Oreochromis niloticus: one gene and its partner. The protein of the gene in region 2 purifies or fractionates together with the protein of the main gene of each other region. This does not show direct contact. Links are inferred from orthologs where the notes say so. Each region holds a gene or a part of one and is shown on either strand. Other genes may lie near its edges. The genes, in order: golm1 and slc7a14a.

The links.
Region 1: the proteins of slc7a14a (region 2) and golm1 purify together in Homo sapiens (co-immunoprecipitation; 3 studies listed by BioGRID and IntAct, with this or other methods). This does not show direct contact. The link is inferred for Oreochromis niloticus from reciprocal best matches to the Homo sapiens genes SLC7A14 and GOLM1.

What each region holds. Positions count from the first base shown.
Region 1 is NC_031977.2:20,711,128-20,720,004, reverse strand, and holds the start of golm1 (Golgi membrane protein 1), read right to left. Parts: upstream 4,003-8,877; 5' UTR 3,819-4,002; intron 2,715-3,818; 5' UTR 2,702-2,714; coding exon 2,573-2,701; intron 1,572-2,572; coding exon 1,392-1,571; intron 1,159-1,391; coding exon 1,104-1,158; intron 995-1,103; coding exon 892-994; intron 745-891; coding exon 624-744; intron 263-623; coding exon 109-262; intron 1-108. Other genes in the region: LMBR1 domain-containing protein 2-B, read right to left, coding at 7,880-7,943, 8,071-8,164.
Region 2 is NC_031983.2:19,686,826-19,695,220, forward strand, and holds the start of slc7a14a (putative cationic amino acid transporter), read right to left. Parts: upstream 3,627-8,395; 5' UTR 3,361-3,626; intron 3,213-3,360; 5' UTR 3,086-3,212; intron 3,064-3,085; exon of another isoform or gene 2,927-3,063; intron 1-2,926. UniProt on the Homo sapiens protein: Imports 4-aminobutanoate (GABA) into lysosomes. May act as a GABA sensor that regulates mTORC2-dependent INS signaling and gluconeogenesis. The transport mechanism and substrate selectivity remain to be elucidated.

The DNA of each region.
Region 1 (8,877 bases), on a different chromosome or scaffold from region 2:
GCAAGTGCAATGTGAGGTTGTCCACTAACTATGACTAGTGTGCTTAGACACGCAATATGTACAAGTGTATATTTCAGTAAAGCAGACTATTTATGTTTTTTGTCTTACCTATATCCACCATGATTTCATTTGTCAGTAGTTCATGAACTTTATTTCCTTTCAGTTGAGAGAGACTTGGTGTTTGGCTTGAAGCAGTTGCTGGAATTCCATCAGACAGGGCCTTGACTGATTTGTTGATTTCCACTCCTCCAACATTTTCCTGCTAAGAAATGAATATAAAATGCTGTGTCACAGCTCCATAGCTCCTGCCATGCAGAAATATAAGGGTTTTTTTTTTTTTTTTTTTTTTTGCCTGGATCCGCAAACAAACACGAGCAAAAGGAAGTCAATTTCCCCATTTGCATGTAAAAACAGTAGTGACGATAATCATGTATAGTAGGAAAATGTTTTCAGACATTAAGATTTTGCTTTGTCCTGATTAACATAAACGGGGTTGGTGACAAAAAAAAAAAAAAAAAAAAAAATCAGCTCCACCCCTCGGCCCAAGTCTCAATCATATGGAAAGACTAATGACTTTGCATCCTTTCACATGCTTCACTGCTAAACAGGAAAGCCAAACCCACCTGTGAGGAGACAGGTGTATGGATGAGCTTCTGCATTTTCTTGTCAGCTTCAAGTTTAGCGGCAGCCACTCTCTCATCGCACAGCTCTTTCTGGGACAGCACCTGGGCGTTACACTGGGTCCTATATGCACAACAAACAGACGGTAAACAGTAGCATATTATAGTGGCATGTACAGTGATCATACTTTCTTTACAAACGACAAATATAACTCTGCACAAAATAATGATAATAATAATAATAAATAATAATAATGAATCATTTTCTTACATGTCATACATAAGTTTGTTATTAAGGGTGTTGATGTTGCCTTGGCAACTCTGCAGATCTTTCTCAAGTTTCCCCAGAGCATCATTCAGCCGATTCAGCTGACCTACAGTACACACAAACACATACATGAAATTAAGTGCACAGTTTTTCAGCGGCCATGTGATGGTTGCTAAGTCAAAGCAACACTTACAACAAGCTAAACATTACGTTACCTTTGAGCTCCTGTATGGTTTTTGCACTGGAGGAAATGTTCTGCTGCAGTGTGGCCTAAACACAAACACACAACGCATGTCAATACTCACTTATCACACTTATTTATAGTTCATATGAAAATTTTCCCTGATAAGTTGTTTATTTGGTGTGAACCGCAACAGTGAGTAAGTCAGAAAAGTGTGTTTATTGCCCATAGATTCCCTTGTGACAAGAGCTGATAGACAGCACCTCTGAGGTAGCGTTTGTGCACATAAAGGTTTTTTGTCACCAGTTTTGTTTGTATGCACCTTGTGTTGGCTGCAGGTGTTCTCAGCTCCCTCCAACTGTCTCTTATAGAGACTTTGTATGTTGCTGATCTGATCCTTTTGTTTCTGGATCTCCTGCTCGAACTCCTTCTTCTTCATCTCGTCTGCTCCTCGCTCTGCTGCTCCACGTCGCACCTGGCCCTCCAGCTCATACAGTTTAGTCTGTGTCACATGCAGCAAGATCAGTATCACGTTACTGCTTTTTATATAGGCCACTTATTTAGAATTTGTCATGGGTCATGATAACATCCATATGAAGAGAACAAAATGACAGAAACTTCCTGGTTCAGAATGAGTCTTTAAGGGTTAACTATGCATACAGATATATATAGTTACACATGCATGTGTTACCTTATTTTCTGTGTCTAATAAGCTAAAACAGGAGTCTTTCTAACCTTATTTGACAGAAATTTCTGAATTTCTTGCCATTTAATGCAATATATTAAACAACAATAAAAACTGGACTGAAAAAAATAAAACCTATCTGACAAAGGGAAGTAGGCTAAAATATCTCAAGCAGCAACACATCATGTCGCAATCTAAAGAAAACTCAAAAACTCTCAATGGAGTTGAGTCACTTACATCTATCAGTCTGAAAAGTGTTACAAAGCCACGTCTAAGTGAAACACTGTGAGAGCCATTTTTCACAATTGAAGAAAACCTGGAACAGTGGTGAACCTTCCCAGGAGTGGCCAGCCTACCAACATTACACCAAGAGCGCCTTAAAGTTCATCCAGGAGGTCATAAAGGAACCCAGAACAACATCTAAAGAACTGCAGGTCTCACTTGCTTCAGTTAGGGCAAGGTAGTATAAACCTTGCCTAACTTCTAGGTATTTTACAAGAAAGGAGACACTCCTTTTCAAAGTTATGTGTGAATGGTGATTGTGAAAGAAAAAAAGAATAAAGTTAGAATTGGTGCAATCATTACAAGGTCACACAGGTCTCCAAATTATGACAGTATTTATATTTTCTTTTAAGTCAGTAAGCGAGAACAGTTCTTGGCACATTTATATTGGTAAAATAAAACACATGTAACGCAACATCAAAGTAAGTACTATTAGAGAAAGACGTAAAAACAAAAAATTTTTTTAAACCTGTAAGCATGATAATTATGCAAAAGAAATAAGAAATGAGGAAGAGTTTGAATACTTTTTAACCCACCTGAAGCTCCAGGTTGCGGGAGCTGGACACCCAGTAGTTAAAGCCCAGAACCAAGATACAGGCGATCAGAGCGGCAATCATAAGAGGCGGTGACCTTCCTCCACGACGCCCGTTCCCCAGCCCACCCATTGCTGTCTACCAACTGAAAACACACAAAGTAGCCCACGGTTAGCACACTTCTCCACACTTTATTTTCTAACTGCATCTTTTAAACACATATTTTCTGTGCATTTCTGGCAAAAAGGTGGTGGTTTTGCAAGTTGGTTGCAGACATGTAAAAAAAAAAAGCTCGCTGTCGGTTGTTGCAGCTTTTGTGTCAGCAAAAACACAAAAAGCTTACACAGGAAATGTTATTTGCACATACATACAGACAACAGTATGTTGAGTGATTCTGTTGGAAACAACACATACACAGCTTTGGTGTTATGTTTACAAATATTACACACCTGTACGGTGTCACACTGAAACATACCCAGCACCACAGACAGCAAAAAGATGTGCTCAAAAGTGGTGACTCAGTTAAAATGTTTTTAATGGGGAAGGGAAAAAACAAACAAGCTAGAAGGACATTCCCAAGGACCAACGGGAGCTAAAATGCAACAACTACATACTAAAGAGCAGCACTACACATCACCGACGAAGTGCCGTATTGCCTAGTTTGTAATACATACTGTCGATGCGGATTCCTGCTTTCCGTGATTCTCCGTGATTCTCCTTAGTCAATCAAATGACCAAAGGATTGCAAAGGCGCAAAGAACTGTTTAACATGTGACAGCGCAATTAGTAACAAAACGAACAACCAGCTAACCTTCAATTTAATATCACGTTAGAAAAATCTGATGTGTACTACTAAATCACAACACAGGCCTGGAGCCAGGGTATACCTGTGTTGTGTTTGGCAGTATAAATCAGAGCCACCCGTATCGTGACGGTGGCGATAACACGGAACAACTCGAGAAAAATGGGTCCTTCGTATAATCGATTAGGCAAATTCAGGTCAAGAGAAAGCAGAAATACTAACTTCGAATTTTTTTTATGTATATTATTTATTAAATATGTGACAAAGCTACATAAACGTGTAAAGAAATGGCCACATTTTCTTCTTATTTGGGCCAGTGCTGAAAGAAGAAGCGAAGGAACTCTACGCTGCAAGCTAACGCTAACATTGTTAGCAGCGCTGCTCCTTCACAGTTGCTGTTACCGTTTTTAGGTCGCTTAGCTAAAACTAGCAGCCGAACCTACTTACCGGATATGTCTGCCTGTCAGAAATCAGAGCCAAATCCGTGAGGCGATATATGGAGTGACACCTCGTTTTATATTCTAACAGCTTTCGTAGACCGTCAACGTCGGACGATTAGCTTGTATCCATCATTGCCACACAGACAGCTCAGTCTGTGTGCTCTGCCTGCTGCCTATGACTGAGACGTTCAAGTACTTCCTCGGATTGCTGTAAAAACAAATCATATTTAGTTTCACATAAATAAATTAATAGACAACGAAATCCCCCTAAACCCTAAAGTATTTTGCAATATCAGCTTCGAAACAGTTTGCTTTTGACTGCTGTCAAGTAATAAATACTGAGAGACTGGTAGTCTAGGCTACTTTAAGATCTAAGAATTTGTTTTTTACGAAGTGCCTAGAAAGGCATCACCGGCAACGGTCAACCGGTCCTCTGCATCTGTAACATTAACGTGTCATATCATGTTAAATAAGATTTAAATAATAAATGTAGGTATATTAAAAATATTAATACATGTAAAACATTAATTAAAAACTAAACAATAAAATATTATATTATTTATAGATAAACTAATGTAAGCAGGATAGGGATTTCTCTACCCAGCCTTTCTTTCTTTCTTTCTTGGGCCTGATCTGAAGTGTGACTTTTATCATTTAAGTGGGAACTGTATGGGGTTAGAACGATGCCACCTTAAAATAAAACTGAAAAAAATATTGAAACTGAAAAAAAAAAATATTGTAAATGAAATAAATGTACTGAAAAATTTTGTATTGAAAGTGAAAAAATTGATAGTGATAAAAGATTAATTGAAACTGTAAAATTTTTCAGTTTCAATTTTTTATGTTTCTGTTTTTTTCAGTTTCAATATTTTTTTCCAGTTTCATTTTAAGGTGGCATCGTTCTAACCTCATAGAACTGGTGTTGTTTTTTTGGTCATGCAAGGAAGAGTGCTCCTTTCTCTGTCTATTTTGAGTTACATTTTAGTATAATTTTGTTTTTTCTTGTGCATTGTCTTTCTTTTTTATGGTTTAATGGTTTTGAAACTTAATGACAATTTTCATGAAGAAAAAAGAAATAAACTAATATTACTTCTTTATCCCGTTTGTCTTTTGACTTCTTTTGAATCTTTTTTTTTTGGAAAAAATACATTTAATATTTTAAAATTAAACAACATTTGTCTTATTCAGATTGCATTAATTGATTTTTCAAGTTGACAAACTTTATGATTATGGCTAATTATAACATAAATATGGAGTCAACGTATATATTTCAACAAGAGATGTAAGATGGTGTGTTGAGAAGTATTTTGAGAAGCTGATGAAGAAAAAATGAAATGGGGAACAGATGAAGTTAAGTTAGTGGATCAGGAAGTGCAGAGAAATAATGAGGAAATGAGAGGATCTATCAAGAGAATGGAAACAGGAAAGGTCCAGATGACATACCTGTGGAGGTATGGAGAAGTCAGAGAGAGAGGGCAATGGACTTTAACCTGATTGTTTAATTCAATTTCAGAGGATGCCTGAAGAATAGAGAACTGCACGGTACTTCAAGAACAAGGATAATGTGAAGAGCTGTATTAACTACAGAAGAATAAAGGTAATAAGCCATAGCATGAAGCCAGTGTGCTTCATGTGCTATGTTTGCCTTAAGAGTGTTGATGGAGATGTATAGAGAGCGTCATAAGAAGTTGCACTCTCTCAGCACTTACGATAGGGTTTCAAGAGAGGAATTTTGGTACTCCACGAGGAAGTCAGGAGTGGTAAAGAAGTATATGAGCATGGTGCAGGACATGTATGAAGACAGCGAGACAGTGGTAAGTTATGTGGTAGAAGTGACAGATGGGCTCAAACTAAGGGTGGGCCTGACTCAGAGATTCAGCTCTGAGCCCTTTCTTGTTTTTAGTGATGATGGGCAGGACTTATGTTTGCAGACAACATTGTGCTCTATTGTTAGAGCAGGTGGAAGAATGCCTGGAGAGGTGGAGGTATGCATTGCACTAGCAAAAGTCAGCCGCCCAAGCTGGACGTGGCAGAGCTGAAGATCCTCGAACTGGGAGTGACCAGGATGAGAAAAGAGTAGATGAGAAGAACAGATCAGGTTGAGTGGTGTGGAGAAAGAGTTAGAGAGGCAATCTGTTTGAAAGGGATAATGGATATATTGGACAAATTCTGTCATTAGGACATGCAGAGGGCTGCAAAAAATACATGTAAAAAAACGAAAACAAAAAACAAAACTCTGTACACTCATGGAATTACAGTATAAACCTCTCTCCATATATTTGCAAACAATTCTCTTGCAATAATTATCTATTTAAAAGAAAAAAAACAACAACCCTCAGGCCATGTGGTAAAATAAACATGGTGACATTTGAAAAAAGGGCTATAAAGGACATCTTGGGATGCTGCTTTATTTCAATTCAATCTTTATTAGCAGACTTCATGTCCATAAAAAACAAGACAGAAACACACACACACACACACACACACACATATATATCTATATATAGATAAATAAGTATATAAAACATTAGTAAAAATATAAAACATTTGTAAAAAATTTGTAAAAATATAAAACCATAATATACATAAAACACAATTACTTAAAATAAATCAATAAATACACAAACACTTTAACCAGTGCTTTCTCAGACTGGATGAGTAACGGGAACCACTCAGTGTCGGATCTGTAAGTGCTAAAATTATACTGTTACTTGAACCATCCAGTCGTTCTCTAAAATTGTACATTAACTTTCTTAAAAGTGCTTTAAAAGTCCAAACACCCACAGCTACAAACATCTGACTGGCACTACCACTTCTAGGTATCCTGCAAAGGATTCTCATCGCATCATTATATGCAACATGCAGCTTCTGCATGCTACATTGTTTGTAGGATGACCACAAGGGGGCAGTATATAGCGGTGTGCAATACGCTTTAAACAAAGCCACTTTAACTGGAAGTGAACAAAAGCTGAATTTGCGTGCAATAGTATTTGCCTGCACATAGAGCTTACATCGTTGTCTGTAAATGTCATCATCATCATTCATTTCCTCAGTAATAAAGTGACCGAGGTATTTCACCTTTTTATGAACTTCAAGAGTTTTTTGGGCCAGTTTAAACAAAGGGAAATTTAGCTGTTTATCCTGCTTGGTTCTACATATCAAAACAGCACTTTTAGCAGCATTGTACTCTATGTCATATTGCACACCATATTCAGTACAGACATTAAGAAGATCCTGCAACCCAGCACTGCTTGGACTAAAAACAACCAGGTCATCTGCATACATAAGATGATTTATCAGTGTTTTACCTAATATACACCCAGTGTTACAGGCTCTCAGCTGCATGGACAGATCATCAACATATAGATTAAATAAAATTGGAGACAAAATCCCACCCTGTCTGACACCATTGCTGACACCAAAGGGGGCAGAAATACTACTTCCCCATTTAACCTGCATGCTCTGATGAGCGTACCAGTAAGAGAGAATCCTCACGATGTATATGTCTTTATATATTTTAGGTCACTCAAAATCCAACAGCAGATAAAGTACACGCAAAAACATTATGTTTTAATTATACAATAACAGTCGAACAGTTCTAAATTGTATAAATAGATGCCTGGAGACTGCACCACATGAAAATGATGCTATTTAGCAGATACAGTTGAAAACAACTTTAAACATGTTTATGTTTTTGATATATTCTCTTTGACATTTTGCTTTAGGCACAAGAATTGAATTTCAAATTAAATAAATATAAAATCTATGCACATACTATGAGGTCTATTATCCACCAATTTTATTATACAACATAACAATATCAAGCACGCATTTACACACATGTGTTAAGAAGTCCTTCTAGTTACCGATCGCTATAAATACCACCTGTATTTATGCTGTTGATATAAAACCCTTTATTAAAGTTATATTTTACATCTTTACGTTTTTTTTCTTAAGAGTGAATTATCTGCATTCAGACTTCCCTTTGCAGAAAATGTTCCATTTGAATCATTTATTCTATTTACAGCACATATTAGCTTTTTGATTTCCCTCCAGGTCCTTCGTGCATCACACGTCGTCAAACACGCCCTTCACTGGAGGTGACAGAGTGAGGTAACTTCCTCCTGTGGATCTACAGCATTAAACACAGTAACACAGTGCGACAGAGAGGGACTGTTAGCATTCTTTTAAAACACAATATTATTCAGATTCATTTTAACACTAATCAACTATATTCTTGGTACTGAATGACATTATACCTTCTGTTGGGCGACTCGTCATCACTGGAGTCTTCCTGCAATAAGCCCGTCTGCTGCTCGTCGGCCTTTTCGTTTCTTCTGGTAAATGTTACAACTGTGAATACAGAGAAGAAAAGATGCACAACACTAGTAAGCAGATTGACTTTTTCTACAAGGGGTGGCTATAGCTCCAGAGATAGAGGTCACCTACTAATTGGAAGGTTAGTAAGTTCGACATATGCATTCACAGAAAAAACGTACCTGTAGATTGGGTGAATGACACAAGTTGTATAATGAGTGCTTAAGTAGAGTAGAAAAGCACGATATAAAAACCATTTTATTTACAATATAAATCATGATAATCCATCAAAAATCCATGTTTGGTGTAATTCAAAACAAAGGGGGAAAGGTGGTGACATGTTAAAAACTCTAAAAATGTTCTTCGTAATAATCATGTGCAGCAAAGAAATGACCGTTATCTACCATCTGCTAGATATTTATATATGTAGAAATATATATAGATGTAAAGCAGGCAGTTGTTCATGTGCAGCGTATTAGGTTCTCGCCACATAATTTTAATCAGATTGAGATCTTGAATTTGACTGTAATTTTACAAAACTTTGATTTCTTTTTTTTTTTTCAGCCATTCTGCTGTAGATTTGTTGCTGCAGCTTGGAATCATTATCCTATTGCATTACCAAGCTACAACCAAGCTTTAGCCGTCAGACAGATGGCCTCACATTTAACTCCAGAATACTTTTTGTACAGAGCAGTTTGTGGTCAACAGGTACCCAGGTCCTGAGGCCCACATCATTACACCTGCACCAC
Region 2 (8,395 bases):
AGGAAAGTGAGAGCACAGGGACTCCACACAGGCCGCAGCTAGCTGCTGGATTCAAACCCATAACTCTATTGTTGTGTGCTTAACAGTGCATCACTGTGCTGCTCATATTCTATTCAAAAGCAGTTATTTGCAATATACCAGAAATATTTTGTGCTGAAGGCAAATAAAGATTTTAAAAATAAATATCAATTCCCTTTTTTGTATGTGTCTTGTATCTATCACACGCACACACACACACTCACAACTCTTCTGTCAGCGCCCATTATTGCTAATAAAAATGAATGAGAGACCAGTAGCATTTCATAACCTCTGCAGTTACATAGTTCCTGCCTGCGTCTAAAGCCTTGAACAGGAGCAAGACAGTGTGGTTTTGAAATTGAAAATAAAACATATATTATTTATGTGAATGCAATATTCAGATTCAGGGGTTTCATTGCTAAAGCCTTACTAGATCTGACACGACCAGCTAGTCTCTGGGGCAAGAGTCAGAAAGCTTTTGATTAATAAGTCTGTTTGTTTATTTTCTTATCCCTTTTTTACTTGCACTTCCACACATTTCAGCATTTGCTAGTTTTATTTAATCGATACTTCAGAAAAAAATGACAATTTGTTAGCCTTTGTCGATGCAGGGCAAGAATCTTGGGAGAGAGCAGTGGGGAGACATGCAATAAATAGCCTCGGCACACATATGAACCCACAAGCCTCTGCAGTAGCCTTAAGATATATGTGTCGTCTGCTCAACCCAGCTACACCACCCAAAAATGGCAGCTTTATCAAATGTTGCATCATCTAGGTTAAGAGTGCATTGTTAGTTTATGTATTGCATTGTTTAAAATTTGTAACACAAAGAACTCGTAACACGTGAAAAAACCCATATAAGTTTATGAATGGTACCCTAAAGACGTGGCATCAATAAAGTGTTTTCATTACAACAGCATTAGTACAAGCAGATACATTAAAGGCTGACAAAATAAATAGATAAGTAAATAATTATATACAAAATATTTTAAACACTTATTAAACTACTTTACTGCATTGAAAGAACCATTTTTCCGCCCCTCCTTTGCCACATCTCCACTATTGTTATCTAATAAAAGCCATTATCACACATGCACCGTAGATATCGACTTCTCTAAACATTATCCAACGTATGCATGAGAATGCACATGTAAAGTGCAGTCGTATTAGTAATCAAGCACTCTTTGACATGTCAGCTCGCTAGTACAAATCTGTTTCAAGTTTATTGTGCCAATATGAGATCGATGAAGACAATAGTCCAGTGAAATCAGAGCCAAGTAGTGGCCATCTTATATCCTTCTTCCTGCAAGTGCATCCCGACCTTAAACATTTTATTTCCAGTAGTGAGAACACATCTGAAGCAGACAGTCTCCTGCTGTGTCCTGTGATTCTTCTAACACTGTCTGGAGTTATTTTGTGAAGACAGCTAAAGACAGAAATGCTCAATAAACGTCACCAACAAATGAGCTGTGCCTTATCCTCTTCATTCAGCTGCAATTTCACAACATCTCTTCAACATGATAACATTCAGTCAGTGCAAAGGAAATATAAAAGGAGGGGAGGGGGCAGATGCCCCACTCTTAACCTTTGTTACTGCTAAAGTGCCCTTAAGCAAGGAACGACTGCCCCTCAAGCTCCTCTGATGGTGTGTCTCTACATGTGACTTCATCCTCCAATGTGAGACCTGGATATGCTGGAGGCTGTTTGACAGAGTGTGTGAGGGATATGCAGACAGACAAAGTGCAGTTTCTAAATTGGTCTGTTATATAATCTTCTGCTTCTACTTCTTATTGTTGTTTTCAGCAACTCAATCATCAGCATTGGCATCAACATGGTTTTCATTTTGCTCTCGGATGTCCATTCACTGGTTTGGATGGACTGCTTTTGACTTAAATGCTAGGAGCTTCTGAACGTTTACTGCCTATCCAGCTTGCATAGATTTTTCTGTTTGAAATAGTAAAGTATTAATTATTATTAATACTTTATTATTAAGTATTAATATTGATCAGATATTAATATTTATACATTTTTACTACTTGATTCTATGATAATCATCCCAAGATTTTTTGCTTATTGATATGTCCTGAAATTCAGAGCAGTATCGCAAACCCAAACTGCCATTTAAAATCTGTAAAATAATGTGTGTTAAAAAGCAGTAATTTTGCAATGCCCACTGCCCTTTGAATTGTATAATTCCATGTTGGCAAATTAATTGCTTCTGTGTCAGGAGCATGCCATTTCAGAGAAAACCTCAGAGTGCATGCAATCACAACGCCCGTTTTAAATGACAGAGTTACAACTGAAATTAACTTCCCTTATTTCTGTGTAGCTGTAGCAGTAAAAGGCACCTGTTGAGCGATGACAGGGCCATCAAGCTTCAGCGTATTAGCAAGCCATCTGCAGACGACTGCTTTCAGCACCATGGACAGCACGACACCACAAGTGTGTTTTTTAAAGAATTAAGAGCAGAAAAAAAGAGACAAGGCCTTATGGCAAATGAGAGAGAAAGAACGAGAAAGAGAGAGAGCGATCTGGCCATGTCATTAGGGATTAGCCTAGTTGAACTGGTTGAAGCTTTAGTGCTCTTGTCCTCACACACACACACGAATCAAGTAACATAATAGTTTGTTTTACTGGACAGACAGATATATAGACAAATAGACAGACAGATAGACAGATAGATAGATGTTCCAAAACAAAACTAGAATGTCCACATACGATACAGTGTTCATGGATAAAATCTATAAAGCTTTATTTTTCCTACCCTGCCCTGATCATAAAGATCAAGTCTAACTCTAATTATGGCATATCTTCTCTTTCTCCGACACACCCACTGAGCCAACAGTCTAGATAGGTAATAACCGCATACATACTAAAAACTGCAAATGTTCTCAATTAAAGAACCCACCCTCTTTCATGTGGGTCCCAGTCGCCACTTTGTCTTGTCCTGTCCTCCTCTCGACCCTCCAAGCATAGCCTCCTGCAGCTCTAGTCCGCTGGGAGAAGCGATACCCGCCCTAAACTCTGCCTTCCCCCTTTTTTCTCTCTCTTAGGTAAAGACGCTCACCGTTAAGGTGACAGGACGGGACCATTGACCGACCATTCCGTCCACTCCGCGAAATCATAAACACACTCCCTATAGGAAAGACGCACGGTTTTCGCCACGTTATAATGCGCCATCACTCGTGAAAAAACTGCACAAAGGAAGACAACAAAAAAGGGTGGGGGAAGAGGAAGGGTGGATAGGTGATAAACGAAGGAGGAGGGTGGAAGGTGATCAAGTTTAAGATAACACGATGGTAAGGAGAACAGAGGGGAGAAAAGCGAAGGAAAAACACTCACTGTGGCACGGCCGGATTAGAGGATACCCATGTCGGATGCTGCAGTCGGTCACCAGCATCAGCAGCAGCATCTCCGGGCTGCGCGGTGCATCAGCGGCAGACAGAGCGGGAGGGAGGGTGAGGCTGATGATGTAAAAAGCTTTAAATCATTCAGGAGCCCGCTGCACGACATGTGACCGTCGACACTGTGTATTATTCATCCGGTTTATTTCCTGACCGGCCAAGACACCAAGCTGACCGGACATCACCGTTGCAGTCCACCCCCCCTCCCGTGACTTACACTGATCCAGCCATGACACAAGGATTATCACTACAGTACGCCCACAATATGCCTAAAATTAACATTCGTATCGTATTCGAATGAAATGGAGAACATTCGTTATTACTGTTCATTTATGCTGAACATATGTGCTCAAAGACTAGAAAAGTTTTGTCCAGGCCAGTAACATAAAACGAGGGTATAAAACCAGCATCCCAGATTAACAACTGAAGAATAATTTAGCTATAACATTTTTTAAGTATAAAGGATAAGGGGTTTTAATCTACTACAGTACATAATATTACAACTCTTAGTATGCAAGAAATAACTTCAACTCACTAAGGAAATATTTGCTTTTAAGACTACAGGAATTACCTTTTTTTTTAGTTCCAAAATTAGTAAAGAGAGCTTAAATAGGTTTAATATTTTCATGCTGGTTTTAGTACTTTATAATTTTATCGTGCCGATTATCAGTATATCATGAAACTACCAAACAGATCTGCAGTAACAAATCATCTTTCACAATGTAAAGCAGGTGGTATTCAGGCATGCCTGTAAAATATAATGATATCAGATTTAGACAGCTGTTGAATAGTTTCTAGTCAAGTGGCAGAATTGATTCCTAGTGTGCCAAGAGGACCCAACATTCACTAGCAGTGAGAGTCACGCAAAGGCCTGTTGCTAAATTATTAAGCCTGCACTGGTCTCTGATCAAATATTCAACAGATGGCTATGTTGTTTGCCATAGATAGCTTGTTTATGTCATTGTGTGTATTTGAGTATGTTGAGGAGAAAGAGAGACAAAGGCTGTATATTTGACTTCCTGTGCAACATCAACATTGCCAGTGAATAACCTGTTCTCCAACTCACCAATGTCAGCAGCCATTAAGCCGACACAGAGCTTAACACTTGTTTATCAGCGATATTTCTTTACAGATATGCCAACATATACGTTGACTTGATGATTTTTAGGAAAAACGAACAAACAAAATTCTCTGTTGCTGCCAAGACATTAAGTAATTTTTATTTATATCTGAAAGTGCTTTACAATAAAAATGAATAACAAATGAAAAATAAAAGGGTTCCTTAAACTTCATGCTACACATAATTGCACAGTTTGCATAAAATAATACAGCAACAACCTGTCCTCCAACCACAGTTCCAGAAATGAGCCACTTCCAAGAGCTTGACAAAAAAGGTAGACTTTATCTTGAATTTAGAAGCAGCCACAGTTGATGCTCATATAAGGTTGGGAGATTATTCCAGAGTCTTGGTGCAATAACAGCAAAGGCACAACCCTGTTTTGAAATGAGCTTCGAGGGTAGGTGGGCAATACTGAGTGGGAAGCAGACCTTAGTTTATGGAATCTATGGGTACAACAAATACATGTTCAAGACTATATAAGGCTTGAAAAACAAACAGTATCACTTCATTCTGGATTATGTAATGCAAACAGCGCCGACACTGGAGCAATTTGATATCTTTCTTTGTTTTGCAGTTCCAGTCAGTAATCTAGCTGTGGCGCATTGGACTAATTGTAGACAAAGAAGTGCTGATTACTGACTCCAGTATACTGTGTATTACAATTGTGGAGTCTAGATGTAAAGGTGTGCAAACACATCTCATCATTTTAAGAAATATTTTAGTCTGGAGATTGTTCTCAGCTGGAAAAACTGCTCTTAAAATAAAAAGGAAATAAATAAATAAATAAAATAAACATATTCATGAAATGTATCTTGCAACATCTCCCAACAGTAAAGAATACTTGCAAATATTCCTGGATCTAGATCCAGATAACTTATAACTTTTTAGCAATTTTGCAAACAGATAACAGGCAAAGCTGTAGTGGTGTAAAGTGGTGTTTGCACCAAACGTCCAAATAACAAAACGACAAGACTAAAAGAAACTGTTAAACATTACTGTCGTTTATTTTTCATTAGTTATTTGCACTGCTGTATTAAAAATGCCTTGTTTAGATTTCAGACAGCAGGTCAGTTTCCTTATTTCAGTTTATTTTTTTGATTTTTAAAAATGTTTTGTTTTTGCATAGCTTATGAGTTTCTATCATAACATAAATGTGAACAGGATCCAATGAAAGTTGAGTCTGTATTGTGCTTGATGGGAGGGTCAGTCAAAACTAAACACAAAAATCCCCCAAAAAGAGCATCGCCGTTAGCCAGGCAAAACAAAAGGGTAGATAACAGTTTGACTGAAAAAGAATCAGAGCTGATTAGGCTAAGATGTAAAATACTACTCAAACATAAAATAAAACCCCCAAGACATAAATTTAAAGTAAAATCGGGTGACAGAAGAAGGATCCAAAACTGAAAGAAAAAAAAAATTATCTTGAAAGATTTGATCTGTTTAGAGAATAGGTATTAAAATAGAAAAATATTTTGTGCAGGCAATTAACTCACTCATGTCAACAACCCCATCTCAAAGAATTATACGCACCAGTGCCTCCTGTTGTTTGTTATGTCGATTCATTTGACCTACTTGACTACAAGATTACAGCTGAAGACATTTCCTGTATAATTTTAGCTTCTGTGCAGTGAAGTCTAATCTAGACATTCATCATGTTTCATCAGCCTTCATCAATCTTTTTAGCTTATAAGTGAAAGTAAGTGTTTTCTCACATGTTTAGATTTTAGTTTAAAATATCTAATGTTATTCCTATTTCATTTCAAGATAAAAATGCAGATAGATTGCAAGAGACGTGCCACCTAAGCTCTAGGCTAAGAGACTGGGTGCAAATCATATCCACCTAAAAGCTAAAATCTTGTTTTTGAATGTTTGAATGGATTGAATTTGGCTTATCTGTTAGACCTATTGCGTTTTTATCACTTGCTTAGGTCAGTGGAGAAGCAGCTCTTAGTAGTTCTTCAATCCAAACTAGCTTTCAAACTTTCTCTAAAGGCCATCTCAGATGTTTCAGCTTCACTACTGATCTTCATATCTCAGGTGAAATCATATTTATTCCCACAGGCATTTCCAGACTACACTAAAATTCAAGAGTATCTTTAGTGTAATGAGTTTATCTGTAAATAATGGAATGTTGTTTTAATACACCCTAAATTTTGTTTTAAGGAGTAATTGCTTCATTTGCTTTCATTCAGTGTGATGCTTTAATCTCTAAAGTAGATTTAATGACTAAAATTATTGTAAATGTTTTGAAAATTGACATTAAAAAAAACCATGCTGTAGCAAAGAGAATAAGTACAGGCCAAAAAAAATGGGCTCGCTTTAAACACAAGTAGGCCACATCTATGACTATTCTAGTCTTTGGTGCTCTGATGTGTTTGTTCCCATCATGGCTGCAGCTCTGTTTTTTTCCAGCTCCCACTCATTGCTTTTTCCTTCACTTTTAAATGTCAGCGACTCTGCAGTCCAGCTGCTGTGTGTGTGTGTGTGTGTGTGTGTGTGTGTGTGTGTGTGTGTGTGTGTGTGTGTGTTTGTGAAAAAGAAAGAGAGGTAGAGAGGGATGACTCACTATCACTGTGCCCTAAGCGGTGAGACAGCTGTGAGACCTAAGTGCCACTACCCATAATTCAACACTGTCTGATGGGGTCACTGGGCTACAGGGCAGGAGTGACCCTTTATGTCTGACAGATCTGAATCTGCAGGAATGGACAGACCACAAACACATCCTGCTTCCTCAAATGTCAGATAAGAGTAAATATCTTTGCTTATACATATTTGAAGTGAGGATTAACCATCAACACATTGAACTGGCTGTTAACATGTTTATGAAAGACTGTACGCTCATTAAAAACATCTAAAAATAAATGTGTGCTTTTACACATTTTCCCTTTTGCCAGGAAGAATCTAAAAGATTTATCAAATCTTATAATTCCGCCCTGTAATGAACCTGTCTGCTCATATCTCAACATAATAAATGCTCCATATTCACACGTTATAAAAACTCTATATCCAGCTCAATAGTCTCTCTTCCATCCATGTCAGCCTCCTCAGCTCTGCTGTGCTCGAACAGGCATGTATTATTCAACAAATTCTCGAGAAGTAGTCCTCTTACTCCCTTTGGATGGAGGAGAGCTAAGAAGAGGGAGGATTCGAGAAAAAAAAAACTTAAAGAGTGAAAAAGTGAAGTGAAAATTAGCGGAACGGAATGTGATGAGTTAAGAGAAAGCTAAAACAGAAGGAATAAGGGATATACAGGAGAGGATACACCATGAAGGGAGCAACACAGACAGAGTGGGTGAGCTGAAAAGAAGGGAAGGACTAAGCAGATGTGTTTTTATATATTTTTGAACACTTTGGCTTTGAAGAAGCTTTGAGGACACTGCAGTCCTGTCTTTTTTTGGAGTCTTTCTTATCCTCTTCAGTCTGCAGCCAGCCAGGTTTGCCTCATTAAATTTCAATACATAGAGATAGATCTAGTCTTTCATTCTACAATGAAACACAACAAAGCTGATAATATGATAAAAATCTACCTTCCTAATCTGATGTTGAATAAACATTACATGAGATCTTTGACAGAAAACAGCAGGCCAAACCAAGAATAGGTTATTGGTATAAGCTATATGATAAAATTGAGCTTCATGATATTGTAAACTTACATTAATTAAGTTTAGAAGTAGGAGAAGTAAATGCTAAATGGTTCTCTTGCTCCAGCTCTATATTTAACATACAGGCATTTTTTTTTTTACCTGGCTCTTTGAAGAAGGCAAAAGTTTCCAAAGCACAGTGCCCAAAGATTTAACACCCCATTAAGGGCACTTTCAGTGGCATCTTAAAAAAAAATTGTATTTCTAAGTAG